4 linked regions of the Drosophila melanogaster genome follow. The protein of the gene in region 1 interacts with the protein of each later gene in a pairwise test. Each region holds a gene or a part of one and is shown in the gene's direction. Other genes may lie near its edges.

Region 1 (5,124 bases):
AAATAGAAAACGAGAGGGAGCCATCATTGAAATAGCGGAGATTTGGTCCAAATTGACATTAGAATTTGCACAAACTTTGGTAAGGTCAATACCAAAAAGACTTCAAGCAGTTATTGATGCCAAAGGTGGTGTTACAAAATATTAGTATTGTATTTATATAAAATAAAGAAATTCTTATGTTGAAATTAGATGTTAAGCTGAAATTTACTAAATTAAGTTGAGTGAAAATACTTTTGAAGCGCAATAAACATGTGAAAATACTATTGACAACTTGCATGCATATTTTCTTTTGCTTTAAGCTTTGTACTATGAACCGTTATCTTTCGTATTTCTTTTCGACTACCTTCTGCATAGATCAAGCTAAGCGATAAGAACTATTTCAGGCAAATCGGACAACAACAAGAAGAAATATAACAAAAAGAAGTTGAAGTTTGCAAATATTGTGCGTTGTGAAAATACTTTTGACCACCTCTGTATGTTTTCCCAGAGCCAACGAACTGAACTTGGTAAGTGTTTATTAAAGGACTTTGCCACAAAAGGACTAATCATTGGATAATCAAAAAATGATTGAACAAGTGTTAAAAATATTTTATAGGTAATCATTTTTCTCATGTTACTGAAAGTTGCAAGACTAGCGAACATATTTCAGTAATTTAAAGTGCCACACATCCATTGTTCAACATTTGTTTTTATTAGAGTTTTCCGAACTCAGCTGCCGGTGTAGTTTTACTTTTTCCTGTCCCTTCTGCCTCGTAAGTAAGGAAAACAAATAAATAAATTTCAGTTCTGGCCAGGGCACTCACTCTCACACACACACATAGCCACATGTGGAAATGTGTGTGTGAGGTTGCCTTTCATAAATTTGATATGTATGCGAATTCCTTTCGGTTGTGTGGTTGGGGTTTTGTTTTTTGTCAAGCGAAACCCATTTCCTGGGACTCACATGCTGCCACCAGGTTTCATCTACATTTGCAATTATTTTATGCTCCGCATTTGCCATTTCGTCTTTAATTAGATTTCCTGCCCAACCCCTAGCACAAATTTGCACTTGCCTTTGATGGGGCTTTCATTAGCCCGGCCTTGCGTGCCGTTTGTCTTGCTGGACGATAATTCCACTTTGGCGAACAAGGGCTGGCCAAAAAACACTTTAAGCCCTCTTCGGCTGGCTCACATGCATTTGCTATTGGGCTCTCGGTGTCATGCTGCGACATGCACTACTCGCCACGAAAACATGCAATTTGCAATGGCCATTTGCGCGACCATCAGTCAGTGGGACGCTAGAAACTTTAATTGCCCGCACACGTTTTAGCAAGCTAAGAAAGCTCGATGGAAAACACTGAGTAAAACTCGACAAAATCGCACTCGCCGCAAATGTGTTTTCGCGCCTTAGTTTTGGCCAAACTCTGACACACGAACGTGGACCTCAGACACCGAATGCCACTCGATATAATAGCCTTTCACCACGACGACGACCGCCAAGCACGTCCTTTCGCCAGCTCGTAACGAATTCAACTGAATCGCCACGGCCAGGAACAGCTCGATTTGTTTATGAATCGTCGTGTGCGCTTCGAGCCGAGTCCTCGGAACTTATTGTTCTGGGCGGCAGAGAGAGCTTTTTAGTCCTGTGAGTGGGGCTGCGAATATCGTAAAGTTAAGAGAAAGGGCATTTCTAGTGCTCTGCCCTTCACGCTCAGTTAAGAATTAAATTCTTGGTATGATACTTACTGCTTTACTTTCAAATTTTTGCTTTGCTTTAATTTGCTTTGTTTTAAAAAAGCATTTACTCTCACAATTTTTAGGGAAATCGTAGTTTTGAGTTCAGAGTTGATTATTAAAAATATAAATTCTTTATACAATTTAAGAAAGAAATTGCATATATTTATTCGTTTTCTGCTGTAATGAGTGAGAAAGTATTAGATGGAGAACAACATTTTCGTTTTCTTATTTTTACAATATAATTTAAAGCATTGCCGTAATTGTCAGGCGCAGTGACTTTCGAAGAACCATTTTGAATATCAAAATTTGGGAACACCAGCTCCCGGAATACAGGATTGTCCATTCCTATAGCTCCACATAGATGATCTAAATTGAACAGAGTACGCCTTTCCCCAAGTAGCAGGGGCCCTATCCGTATTCCTGGTCCCATTCTAGACACAAACAAAAACATTCACAGCAGTCGAACAGACAGCCCAAAGACACTCCCACACCAGCTGTGTGTATGCGGTTTAGTTGGCCAACCGCAAAATTCTTGGCAAACAAAATAAAGAAAACTAACTTGGGCCGAAGCAGAGCAGATCCAAGCGGCAACGGAAATTGTTAACCTTTGGGGATATCAAACATTTACGATTGCGTGGCAGCGGCAGCAACATTTAAGTTTTTATCAGCACAAAATAAAGTTTTGGTTTACGGATTGTGTTCCTGTCCGCCAACGCTCCTCCTACTATCCACCACTTTTTGGCCAGAGGCAGCTACAAGTGCCCAGGAGCCAAGACAGGAGCAAAATTCAGGAGCAGAAGCTGGATCAGGGGCTGAAGGTTCGTCCCTGTTGATTCTGGGGCACGCAAAACTTTTATCCTTTTCAATTTCGTTTTTCTTCGCCGAGTACTTTTGAGGGATTTAAATTTCTGTTTGCAGCCGAGCCAACAGCGAAACAACAACCGTGGGAGTGGCAGCATCGAGTTCGTGGCGACCAGGTGAGTGTTTCTTGTTGGCCTAATCACGGCTTTGCCGACTTGGCCACAATCAAGCACAATGCGATTGGCGCTGCTAATTTGACTTGAATGATACATAAAAAGGTGTACGAAAAAAAATTAGGAGGCTTATGTGAAAATGTGATGGTAGAAAATAAGTATATTTTTGATTAAATATTTTTAACAAATAGTATTTTTTAGTCTAAAAATAATTATTTTTCAGCCGTCATGAAGAAGAAGAGTCGTAGAGATCGGACACCAAAAGTAGAACAACCTGAACCATCGAGAGTTGTCAACACGGAGCCTATTCGACTGAACGTGGAACCCCAATCCCAAGAGATAGATGACCAGGCTGCACCATTTATTTTGGTAGACTGTGCGAAATATGAGGATCGTTCAGATTTGGAAGCAATGCTTAGTTCCATAGAAAAGGAACGGATGAAAAAGGTTCAGGCAGATATAGAGCAGCAATATTTTCCCCTCCTGGAGGATGAAGAACCACCTCCAGAATTAGATATGCCTATAAACCTAAGCTCTCAAGCATTGGCTGTACTGAATGATGCAGATAATGAGCGCCGCTTTAAAGAGGATCTGGAGAGCCTTAGTATTGCTGGACTGGAAGAGAAAGATACATCCATTAGCATTACCAACATGAAAATAGAAGACAGCAAACTATTGTTTCGGACTATGCCAGGTATGAATCAGATTTGCTGCACGCTAGAGCAGATGAAAAATGTTCATGGGAAAATTGGACCAGCAGAACCAACTCCACAGGCACGTTGCACCAGCTTGATTCCACTTTCAGGCCTTCGCCGGCAAGACACCTTCGAAATTAAACGTAAAAAGAACCAAAAGATTAGATATCCCGAGGTTTCCACCAAATCAGCAATTAGCGAAAGGAAACATCTACCATTAATTGCCAAGGGAGGAAAATGTGAGAAAGTTATCTCAGAGACTGATAAGATTTTCAGCCAGATTGGCGATCTTCTCGTGAAACTGCAGCTCCAACACGAGGGCAGCAAAGTCCTGAACAAGGGATCCTCTTATTCCTACATGGTGAACATTAAGCCAGCTGGAGGTGCATCCAATTGTTCAGTTTATGCGCTTACAAAACTCAAATCGCACGAAGTAGAGGAGACGCATGCCGAAAATCTAAGAACTTCTCACGCTCCATTGATCAACATTTTATACCCTGGTCGTGGTGGACTTATGGAGACTTCTGAGTTGTCCACGACCGCACGATGTATCGATGGAAGCTCCATTGGGTCGATGTCCCTTCGCGAAACGCCGTCCTCCAAGATCAAACCATCATTTTTACGCAAAAGGCCCAGTTCCCATCTAAGGGCACCTAACCCTGTCAAATTTTGCCACGGCAGGAAGAAAAATTAGGCCGCTTGGTAACCATTCCGCAAATTATTTGTTCGAAAGCCATTTATTTTCTATCGACATTGGAATCTCCAAATAATGCTTACAAATTCATATGTTGGTCATTCAAAAGGATCTTGAATGGATATTTTATGCAAAAATATATCAGTTGCCAGAGTCTAATGAACGGTAATAATTCAACAAATGCATACAATGCGGCCATAATATAAAATATTAAGTGATACAAAACAAATATATATTTTTATAAGCCATTAATTAAAAAATAACCTACATTTTGGTTATTAATGGTCTCTTGGATTTATTTCCACTAGGGTCAATTAATAAAATTGCAAGTCTGAAACCCAGTTTAAAAGATCAATATGCTGTTTTCGATTGAATTGAATTGTACAGCGCAAACAATATTTGTTTTTTCTTTATTCATCGCAAATAAACAAGTGGTTTCAAGTGGTTTATTTATTTGCCATTTTAAATTCATCACAAAATGCACAATAATTATATAGATGTTATCGGCATTCACATTTTCAATTACCCTCGTATTTTAATTTATTGTGTTGTAATTAAAGCGATTTAATCATATTCAATCGCCAGAGTCCTCCAATCAAAACTCGTGCACCTTTCTGGAGTGCTTCCCTGCATAAAAGTTGCATCTTGTCCACTTCCTGGAGGAGTTGTCTAATTGCATGGCCACGCACTTTCATTGCTCATTTCCGAGTTGCCCTCAAGTGCGTGGTTGCAGCTCATTTTGTTCGGTTTGCACAATTGTGGCCAAAGTGTTTTCAACTTTCTTCTGTCAATGCGCCCGGAGGTCGAATCCGAAGTCCGTGCCTCACCCGAAAATCCCCTCTTTCGGTTTGGGTTTGGTGAAATGTCGGCCAAGTGCTGGGCTTGGCTTGTGCCAGTTGGCAGACGTCCTGCTGCAGGACCTTAAAAACCTGCCTGCCTCCTGTCATTTGTCGTTGGCCAGAAATTGCAAGATTGACTACTGGGCTGCAGAGGGTGAACAAGTGGGTGGGCACAAAAGTTTTCATTAGTTTTAATTAAATCCCAA
Region 2 (4,149 bases), on another chromosome or scaffold:
TAACCATAAATTATTGAAATTAAAGTCCTAAATAATAGATGAATAGATGACTGAATTATATTTAAAAAAATTAAAGTTGTAAAAATTAATATTTAAGATTAAGATAGATTTTTTTAAACCGATTAAATAATAATTGATTAAAAATACATCAATCCTGTAAAAAGACAATACGTTATCGAGCCACCTTAACGTTTACTGTCAAATATCGATAATTGTCATAACCCGCAAAACAGGTTGTGTTCCTTTCCAGAAAAAATTGTATTGCCAATATGAGCAATACTCAGCACTTAACTATTGGTTAGTATAAGTTACTAAGTTCCAAATTCACATTTAAAAGGCGCATATATATTGCAGGCTCGCCAAAGCCCGTATTTCCGGATGATGGGATCTTAAAGCTGTATTCGATGCGCTTTTGCCCCTATGCACACCGTGTGCACCTGGTCCTGGATGCCAAAAAGATTCCCTACCACGCTATCTACATCAATCTTCGCGACAAACCCGAGTGGTTCTCCCTGGTGAGCAGCTCCACAAAGGTGCCGGCACTGGAGCTGGTCAAGGAACAGGGAAATCCTGTGCTGATCGAGTCGCTCATTATTTGTGACTACTTGGACGAAAAGTATCCGGAGGTGCCATTGTATCCCAAGGATCTGCTTAAAAAAGCCCAGGAGAAGATTTTAATCGAACGTTTCGGACAGTTCATCAATGCCTTCTACTACCTGTTGCTGCACGACAATCCCGAGCAGCTGGTTGACACCGATCACTATGCCGGATTGGTCGTTTATGAGGAGGAACTGAAGCGACGTTGTACCAAGTTCTTTGGTGGCGACAGCCCAGGCATGCTTGACTACATGATGTGGCCCTGGTGCGAGCGCTTTGACTCTCTGAAATACACTTTTGAACAAAAATTCGAATTGAGTCCGGAACGTTTTCCCACTTTGGTGGGTCCTATTGGTTTTCTAATTATGTCTTTTAAATTACCGAGATTGTTCTACTGCAGATTAAGTGGCGCGACTTGATGATCCAGGATCGTGCTGTCAAGTGTTTCTATCTGGATGGACAGACCCATGCCAAATACATGAACTCCCGGCGATCGGGCCAGGCCGATTATAATATGCTATAGTAAGATTTGAAGATTATACATATAATGTGTGACTGATCCATTTCTCGTTTCTAGCAATGAGGCCAAACGTGTCAAATTGGGGTAGTCTACGGGATGATGGCGTTTCCACTTCAGCATTGTACCTTTTGCACATATAACATGTAACACATGTACCTACTACGGCAGCATTATTGTGATTGAAAAATAAATCTTTGCATTTTCATTGTTTATACGGGTTGTAAGTACGTTTGTTTTAGAATTAGATTAATGAAGGTATGAATGATAAATGGATATGAAAATACTTATCTTAGAGTAGTCGTTTGTAGTCTTTAATATGTGGTCAAACAATTTTCTTAAATATGAGCTTAAGAATTTTAAATTCACCCGCTCAACAATCGAAATATATTCGATAAATTCACTCGTCCGGCGACTGCGACCACTTTATAAGGTACCGGAATCCCTCTATTTGTTGTCAGTCGATCGGAACTACTTTGCCACCAACATTTCACGTCTTGGGAATTATTTTAAAATTGTTAACAAAATGGCCCTGCCGCAAAAGCACTTCAAGAGGGGTGAGTTGGGGGCACTTCAAGGTCATCGGGATAGTGACGCTGCAAAAGTTGGCAATTGATTTCATAGTTTTATCTAGACCCCACTTTGAGAGGCGTAAATTACGCAGAGATAGAGCTTTAATTTTAGCCAAAGCATAATGGAAAACTTTCTGCTGACGTCACAAATCACCCTTCAACAGGTTCGCCCAAACCGGAGATCCCCGAGGATGGAGTCCTGCGTTACTATTCGATGAGATTCTGCCCGTACTCGCAGCGTGCCGGTTTGGTTTTGGCCGCCAAAAAGATTCCACATCACACGGTTTACATTGATCTTAGCGAGAAACCAGAGTGGTACATCGACTACAGTCCATTGGGCAAGGTGCCGGCTATCCAGTTGCCAAATCTGCCTGGACAACCGGCTTTGGTGGAGTCCCTGGTCATTGCCGAGTACTTGGATGAACAGTATCCGGGCGAGGGCTCCCTTTTCCCCAAGGATCCATTGCAAAAGGCGCTAGACAGGATTCTCATCGAACGCCTGTCGCCCGCTGTCAGCGCCATTTACCCCGTGCTGTTCACCAAGAATCCACCCGCTGATGCCATCAAGAACTTTGAGACCGCTCTGGATGTCTTCGAGCAGGAGATCACCAAGCGCGGAACACCATACTTTGGAGGCAACAAGATCGGCATTGCTGACTACATGATTTGGCCCTGGTTCGAGCGATTCCCGGCCCTCAAGTACACTCTGGATGAACCCTACGAGTTGGACAAGACACGCTATCAGAATTTGTTGAAGTGGAGGGATCTGGTGGCTCAGGATGAGGCTGTCAAGGCCACCGCTTTGGATGCCCGAATCCATGCGAAGTTCATGAAGACCCGCCATGAGAACAAACCGGACTACGATGTAGCCTTCCAGCCCTTGTAAAGGATGTATTAATGGATGACAGGAAGCAACATACTTAAACTAACATTGTGAAACCGCTTTTAAAAAAATATTAAACCCATATATAAAGTAGACCATCAAATGTTATTTCTACCTTTTCAACTGGGATTTGGGTCAGTGCTTTTATTCCTGCCAATTAATCAAGCTTACATTGATCTTACAGGTTCCACCAAGCCCGAGCTGCCAGAAGATGGAGTTCCTCGTTTCTTTTCCATGGCATTCTGCCCCTTCAGCCACCGAGTTCGTCTGATGCTGGCCGCCAAACATATTGAACATCATAAGATCTACGTCGATTTGATTGAGAAGCCTGAATGGTACAAGGATTTCAGTCCTCTGGGCAAAGTGCCAGCCCTGCAGCTTACTGGGGTGAAGGACCAACCGACCCTCGTGGAGTCGCTCATCATAGCAGAGTACTTGGACCAGCAATATCCCCAGACGCGACTCTTTCCCACGGATCCGCTTCAGAAGGCGCTGGACAAGATTCTAATCGAACGTTTTGCTCCAGTGGTCAGTGCCATTTATCCTGTGCTGACTTGTAATCCCAACGCTCCGAAAGATGCCATACCGAACTTCGAGAATGCCTTGGATGTTTTTGAAGTGGAGTTGGGCAAAAGAGGAACGCCCTACTTTGCCGGCCAGCACATTGGAATCGTGGACTACATGATTTGGCCTTGGTTCGAACGTTTTCCCAGCATGAAGATCAATACGGAGCAAAAGTATGAGCTGGATACAAAACGATTTGAGAAGCTGGTATGTTTAAGTAATCCAACATAAGATGATGCATGTATCTCATCAAAAATCCATTACAGCTCAAGTGGCGCGATTTGATGACCCAGGATGAGGTTGTGCAGAAGACAGCTTTGGATGTCCAGTTGCATGCTGAGTTCCAGAAATCGAAGACCCTTGGAAATCCCCAGTACGACATTGCCTTCAAGGGTACACCATAGAACGACAACTGGTTTAGACAAGATCAAATCTTTGGAACCGGTTATGGACTGCATTTATGTTTTATTCATTCCATGCGAAAAATTCAATAAACCAAGTGCATCAGGCATCCTTGACCAGCAGATTGTAATTGGGTCGACCCAGGCTCCGTGTACGCAGGAACTCCGCCTGAACCTCGGCCTCCATGTAGAAGGCCATCACAGCCGGATCTCGTTTCATGCGTTCCAGCCAAAGGGTCTGAAAAATGGTATACTAATGTACTTCATCACTCCTGGGATACACGGACCTGCTCACCAGCTGGGGGAAGCGACTCTGATCGTAGTTATAATCCTCTCCACGCTGCAACTTAAGGAGCTCGAGGCGCTCACACCAGGGCCAAATCATATAGTCCAGAATGCCCGTCTGCTCGCCACCAAAGAATTCCGTACCACGTCGAGCCAGCTCCCTTTCGTAGATGTCCAGGCCGCTCCAGAAGGGCTCCAGATCACCGCCATCGGATGCCTTGAAGAAGGCACCTAACACCGCTCTAAATCGCTCGATTAGTAACTTGTCCTGCACTTTCTTCAGCGGATCACGTGGATAGAGTGGTCGCAATGGATACTGCTCGTCCAGAT
Region 3 (3,132 bases), about 18 Mb from region 1:
GGGTCCGCGGGGCCAGGGAGCAGGCGGGTGCCAGGTCAACTCGACGCAGCCGCCGGGCGATCCCGCCGCATGCAGCCTCTACCAGAGCCGGGGAGCCCCCACCGTGGAGTGCACGTGCACTCAGAACCGTAGCCGGCCACCTCCGCCATCCGTTCAGGCGGACCACATCACGTGCAGCCGGGGTCCGCGGGAGCAGCCGCCTGCCCTGGAGACCCGCTGCACCTGTCGCGAGAAGCCCGCCAAGACGGAGTGCCACTGCGCCCCGCCGGTGGCCCCGCCTCCCAACCAACAGCAGCAGCAGGCGATGGCCCAGCCCACCTACGCCAACGTGACCTGTGGCCAGAACGTGCCCAGAGGACCGCAACCCTATCGCCCGCACCACGGCAACCAGAGTCAGAACCCGAACTCCTGCGGCCACTGTCGATCGCAGAAGAAGCAGAAGAAGTGCGTCATTCAGTGATCTGGATGTCGTGCCACGGGAGAACGTTGGGATCCCAGCAGGCGCTACGCAGCAGGCTACACAGATTATAACGCTCACAACATGACATGACAGTACTCCCAAATTTCAGGTTAGCCAAATTTCCAGTTTCGACCTGTTTTCCGGGTCAATAAAGCCAATGTGACCGCTAATGGGTAAAGTAAAACAGGTGGTATGTGTGTGTTCCTTTAATACATCAGCGTCTCCTTCCGGACAGGGAACAGTCCGAGCGCCTACCAGGTGGGTCGGAGGCCAGCGCAGCTCAGCTCCGGGCAGGACATCTGCAACTGCCGCGGAAGCCAGCGGAATCCGGAGCGGAATCGCAGTCGCCACTGCTTCGTGATTCGCTCACAGCGGCCACCAAAGGGCGTGGCTGCGGAAACCCGGTGCTGCTGCACTCCTCAAGCGCCGATAAGCCGTAGTTTACCTCCGCCCACTAAGATCCGCCAGCGATGCTGCTGTGCCTTAGCTCCGGAGCCCGCAAGGCAAATGGTTTGCGACACCTCCGGGAACAAGCCGCAGAGATGCTGTACCAATTGCCCAGGAAACGGACATAGTGGAGCAGCTGCGCGGAGGACACGGGTGTATCATTCGGATCCATACCCCATCGGGTTAGGCGAGAATCGGAAAGTGGCTTTGGAGGAGCCAATTCTGCTGCAGCCGGACCCACATTCTGAGATTCCATGCAGCGACTCCTCGCGATCGTTTCAGCCCGCCGTTCACGCGATAAATGAAAACTGCCAGGAACCCCAGGATCCCTACTATCCGTATCCTCCCAGAAGCACGCGTCAGCGGGAAGTGGATCCTCTAGCCAACTTCGATCTGAATCGCTTCGACAGGGAAGCCATCCATCGAGGCCCCGCTGGCAGACGAAGAAACGTCTCCATTCGCACCTGCGTCGACTACGACTACGAGCCGGGATATCTAGCTCCAAGCAGTCCGCCCGGAAATCGACATCCACCAGCTCCATCCGGATATTCTCCGGCATACCCCCCTTCGTACGAACCTAATCCAGCCGGTTGTCCCGCGGCATCTTTGCCCAGAACTCGCCCACCAACCGCATCACTCCAGCGTCCATATTATCACAGAACTCATCCGGGATTACAAGGTTTGTATTTTCCAAGTTATCCAGGAGCAGGCGACTAATATTCCCTTTTTTTATTAAGAAAATACTGAATTCGATTACGTTAAATGTCCGTTTAGATGAAGGGCTAAAATATAACAAACCAATAGGTAAGTGTTTCATTTGATTATTATTTAACTATTTATAATTTAAATTTTATGGAATCAACTACTCTAATTGGATTAAATTATTTTAGGAAGACGTATAAATCAGATTTTAGTAGTTTAAACTTTAAAATATTCAAATAGTCTAACCTTTATACGAATTCCACCAATTTCAAATACTCGCGACACAGACGGCTATTCGATAAGTAATCACTTTTCCATTTGCCAGAAATGCAGCCCTGAAAGTTTGAGAAGCACTGGAAGTTCTGCGCACTGTGCTCCAGTGCTGAAAACCGCATGCAGCAGTGTGAAAGAAGAAGAAGACTGCGACGCGTGCAAAACACGCCGCACTTTACTATTTAATTTCGATTAAAACAATAGAAAAGCAGTGATGGATGATGCGGACTACGACAACGACGAGTAAGTGCAGGCGTAACACAATCAATAGCTGTGCCCATTAATCACCTACTTAACAATTGCAGCGTTGGCGGCGATGACTTCGACGACGTCGACGAGGACGTGGACGAGGACATTAACCAGGAGGAGGAGGCGGACAACATCGAGATCATAGCTCCCGGTGGTGCGGGCGGAGGCGGTGTGCCCAAGTCCAAGCGCATTACCACAAAGTACATGACGAAATACGAGCGCGCCAGAGTTCTGGGCACACGAGCGCTTCAGATCGCCATGTGCGCACCCATCATGGTGGAGCTGGACGGGGAAACGGACCCCCTGCAGATCGCCATGAAAGAGCTGAAACAAAAGAAAATTCCCATCATCATCCGCCGATACCTGCCGGATCACTCCTACGAGGACTGGAGCATCGACGAGCTCATCATGGTGGACAACTAGCTAGTACTCAACCCCTTTATCCATAATAAATCATACCGCCTAAGATTAAGCACAATCAATTTGGCTGCTGAATTCCCGGGGACTTAATGTAATGACGAACTGCAAGCGCTAATTGCTACACGATAGTTATCTTGTAAGCAATCCCTTTGCTTTAATATTATCTCTTAATACCGCTATAATCTGAAGTAGCCACAGATACTTGCTACCATGCGATTAGTACGAAAAACAATGACACCACGGGCTTGCTATTCTACTACAATATTTTATTTCACATAACAGACGTACAGATTAGGAAAACAAAGCTGCTCTAGTGTGAGGAGCACTTGGTGTCTAGCTCCAAGCATATCCCTCATCTCTTTGATAGCAAACGCGCTCTAAAAGACCTACGGCATGTTGGCCCGTGCGGCAGATGGAGCCAACTACTGCCGGCAGCAGACCACACTCCGAAAGATTCTGCTCGCCAAAGACCTGCCCGGCGGCATCTTCTCCTTCCGCATCTGACTGTGGCGTCTCCGGAGTTTCAAGCAGCTTTTGGGTGGCCTTGCTAAAGGCCAGCGTATTGATGCTGCTGGCCAGCG
Region 4 (2,959 bases), about 14 Mb from region 1:
GTTGCCGCATGGGTAACAGTGCGTTGATCAAATAATAAAAACATCAAATATTGGTCTCAAAAAAAAAAAAAAAAAAAAAATTATGACCGTAATACTGTCAAAAACAAGCACACAATAATTATAATGATGATCAAATAAAACTGGAAATTAGCCCAAAGTGTGTTAAGTCAAGCGAGGAATCCGAACAAAGGAACTACAGCCAGCACTGGAGGCAAAAAGTGACAGTAAAATTGGCTCGAAGACAGCGGCTAATGAGCGTGCGATAGGAATAAAGGAGTAGAATGGGGCCAAAAACCCAAGAAACTCAAGTTGGCTAAAAGGCAAAGATATCGCAGTACTAGTCAAATACGAGAATACTGAGAGAGCATTTTGCGATGGGCTTGTGGCAAGACTAAGCGTCTTACTGGCAAATTGGGAACGGGGTAAGAGGAAAAGCCGAAAGCTAAACAAAGACGGCCAACGCAGATGGCAAAAAGGAAAAACTCAATTGCCGCACAAACCGAGCCGCCATTGTTTTCTTAATTGAGTGTCTTTTGCTAGTGTGTCTGTGTGCCAGTATGTTTGCTCATACATATATGGGGTATCTGTGTGCCAGGACACTATGCTCATTGCCGCCTATCTGCCGGCAGAGTTCGCTTATCAATTACATTGAATTTACCCAGGCAGAAATGGCTTTTAGCCATTCTAGGCACCACCCCCTGCAATCAATATTTGCCGGAAGTGATGGCATAGGCAGTCACATTGACTTTTGCGCCGACTGCTCACCTCTCCACTTCCTGTGCTTCCGATTTGACGCTGATTTCACAACTCGCCGCACGGAAATTGCCCGGCCCCCCATTTACGGCTTCAGTAAACAACCGCACCTCACGTTTCTTGACCACCCCTCCACTCCATTTCGATTTTCGAATCTTCACTGTACTGCAGTTGACGAAGGCGCACATTTTATGTATGTATTTGCCGTGAATCTCCAACTCCATCCTACTTCATAAGTCGCCTGATTTATTCCGGCCACGTAGCACTCACTGCACAGTTTGATTGCCACATTCGCATGTAAATGCTGGCCTCTAAAAAGTATTCAAACCAAGCGACCCAATCCCACAAATCTGTCCCACGTCATCGCGCATAATCGAGCTTTTAATTTCGGGTAATAAAACTTTGCCGATTTAATATCAGGTACGTGGCGCCTTCATTCTACAAAAGAAAGCCATAAAATGTGGAACTGACTTCGAGGGAAGCCATAAACTTATGTTTTTCAATGAAGGATAAATAAGAAAAATAACTAGTTGTTACACCTTTCAAATTTTTAAAGCATATTCCCCAATTTATTGTCAAGTGATTCATCAACGATTTCTGTGGCCTGCAAAGTTTGCCTTGAAAGGCAAAAGATTTTGTTCATTAAACAACGTGATACACGAAACCAAACTGAAAAAAACTTTGTTCTACGAGTATTTCAAACTTTTCGCCAAGTTTACGCATAATTTTTTACGATATTTTCCGCAGTTTTTCCTTTTGACGGCTCATCTTATTCTTATTGTTGTTCGAAAGGACTTACCCAGCATCCAGGGATCTCTAATAGATTTCCGGCAAACAATTTTATTCACTTTCTGCTATTGAATTTGGTATTATTAATGCCGCATTTCCTAAGCTGTGGGCATTAAGTATATGGCTAACTTTTCTACTTCAGGATATTAAACGAATTCATTACAATATTTTTCATAATTTTATTTCTTTTGGCAAGAAGATATTAAAGTAGACCAGCATTTAAAAGAAAACTTGTCTGCACAGAAAACTACGTTTTGTTGAGTAGCAACTGTAGATAAAAAGTTACGAAAATGTTTTTCGCTCTGACATTGCTGTCAAAACTCATCAAAAAAATACTATTTGAACATTTAAAAATATAAAATGGATTCAGATGCCGATGGTGGCGAGACCGTTTCGAATTTCTCTGAAAATTCGACGGATTTTGAAGAAACTGAGGAGTATATTGTAGAGAGGATTTTGGATCGAAGGCATTATATGGGCCAATTACAATACTTGGTCAAATGGCTGGATTATAGCGATGAAGATAATACCTGGGAATCGGCAGCAGATCTCGATTGCCATTCACTTATTGATTCGATTGAATCACAAAAAAGTCTGAAGAGGGGTCAAGAGCTGAATAATCAATATGAAACTAAAGCTAAACGACTGAAAATCGATCCATGTCTAGTAGTAGATAGTCCTTTTAATCATGGTTTCACTGCACAAGAGATTCTAAAAGGCGCTAAAAACAATGGTGAAATATCGTTTTTAATTAGGTTTTGGCATCTCGATCAACCACAAGTGGTGCCAAGTGGAATTGCATATGTGGAAATACCGCAGATGGTTCTGAAATTCTATGAAAATCATTGCAATTTTCACGATTATTTAAATAATTATATATCATGACTTGCAATTCTGGATCTTCAAAAAAAAAAAACTTATGAATATGTGTGTGAGCTTCTTATATTTTATATGTTAGGTTAAATTGCTTTACTTTTTATAATAAAAGGTGTCCCTTTGCACAGCATTACAAACAATAATGAAGGCAAAATGCCAAGTTTTAAGTGATTTTTGGGGCGTGTTTGCCCGACAGGCAGCGTAAACACTCTTAATTGCAACAACAGTGCCGGCAAACAAGGGCCAGGAATGTACGACGGCCAAAATGAAGCGAAAATATTTGCATTCCGTTTTTGTGGCCATTCCCTTGTCTCATCGCAAGTACCAAAAGTCGTAAGACCTATTCTCTGTTTTTGGCTGATGGGGCGTGGTGGCCGGACGTACTTTTGCCCTATATATTCGTGTTTGTTTTTCGTCACTTGGGTCCTTTTTTTTGGAGGGGGGGGGGGGGGGCTCTGGTGCTACCCAGTTGCGTCCAGTGGGCACGTAGCCACAATAGCAGCAAAAAGGTTTCGTTTAAGCCTTCTGCACTTTTGCCGAG

The links.
Region 2: the proteins of CG10164 (region 1) and GstO2 interact in a two-hybrid assay, tested with the Drosophila melanogaster proteins (one large-scale study listed by BioGRID).
Region 3: the proteins of CG10164 (region 1) and Polr2F interact in a two-hybrid assay, tested with the Drosophila melanogaster proteins (one large-scale study listed by BioGRID).
Region 4: the proteins of CG10164 (region 1) and HP1e interact in a two-hybrid assay, tested with the Drosophila melanogaster proteins (one large-scale study listed by BioGRID).

What each region holds. Positions count from the first base shown.
Region 1 is NT_033777.3:23,553,802-23,558,925, reverse strand, and holds CG10164 (uncharacterized protein), read left to right. Parts: upstream 1-1,982; 5' UTR 1,983-2,693; intron 2,694-2,913; 5' UTR 2,914-2,918; coding exon 2,919-4,079; 3' UTR 4,080-4,603; downstream 4,604-5,124.
Region 2 is NT_037436.4:8,520,923-8,525,071, reverse strand, and holds GstO2 (glutathione S transferase O2), read left to right. Parts: upstream 1-1,570; 5' UTR 1,571-1,640; coding exon 1,641-1,671; intron 1,672-1,850; coding exon of another isoform or gene 1,851-2,572; exon of another isoform or gene 2,573-2,661; intron 2,662-2,753; coding exon 2,754-3,340; intron 3,341-3,399; coding exon 3,400-3,537; 3' UTR 3,538-3,637; downstream 3,638-4,149. Other genes in the region: GstO1 (glutathione S transferase O1), read left to right, coding at 270-297, 355-938, 998-1,119, 1,175-1,205; se (sepia), read right to left, coding at 3,638-3,772, 3,830-4,149.
Region 3 is NT_033777.3:5,369,791-5,372,922, forward strand, and holds Polr2F (RNA polymerase II, I and III subunit F), read left to right. Parts: upstream 1-2,004; 5' UTR 2,005-2,096; coding exon 2,097-2,125; intron 2,126-2,187; coding exon 2,188-2,554; 3' UTR 2,555-2,607; downstream 2,608-3,132. Other genes in the region: CG31542 (uncharacterized protein), read left to right, coding at 1-460; CG34277 (uncharacterized protein), read left to right, coding at 630-633, 696-1,586, 1,645-1,685; hd (humpty dumpty), read right to left, coding at 2,885-3,132. UniProt on the Drosophila melanogaster protein: DNA-dependent RNA polymerases catalyze the transcription of DNA into RNA using the four ribonucleoside triphosphates as substrates.
Region 4 is NT_033777.3:9,319,924-9,322,882, forward strand, and holds HP1e (heterochromatin protein 1e), read left to right. Parts: upstream 1-1,846; 5' UTR 1,847-1,902; coding exon 1,903-2,427; 3' UTR 2,428-2,438; downstream 2,439-2,959.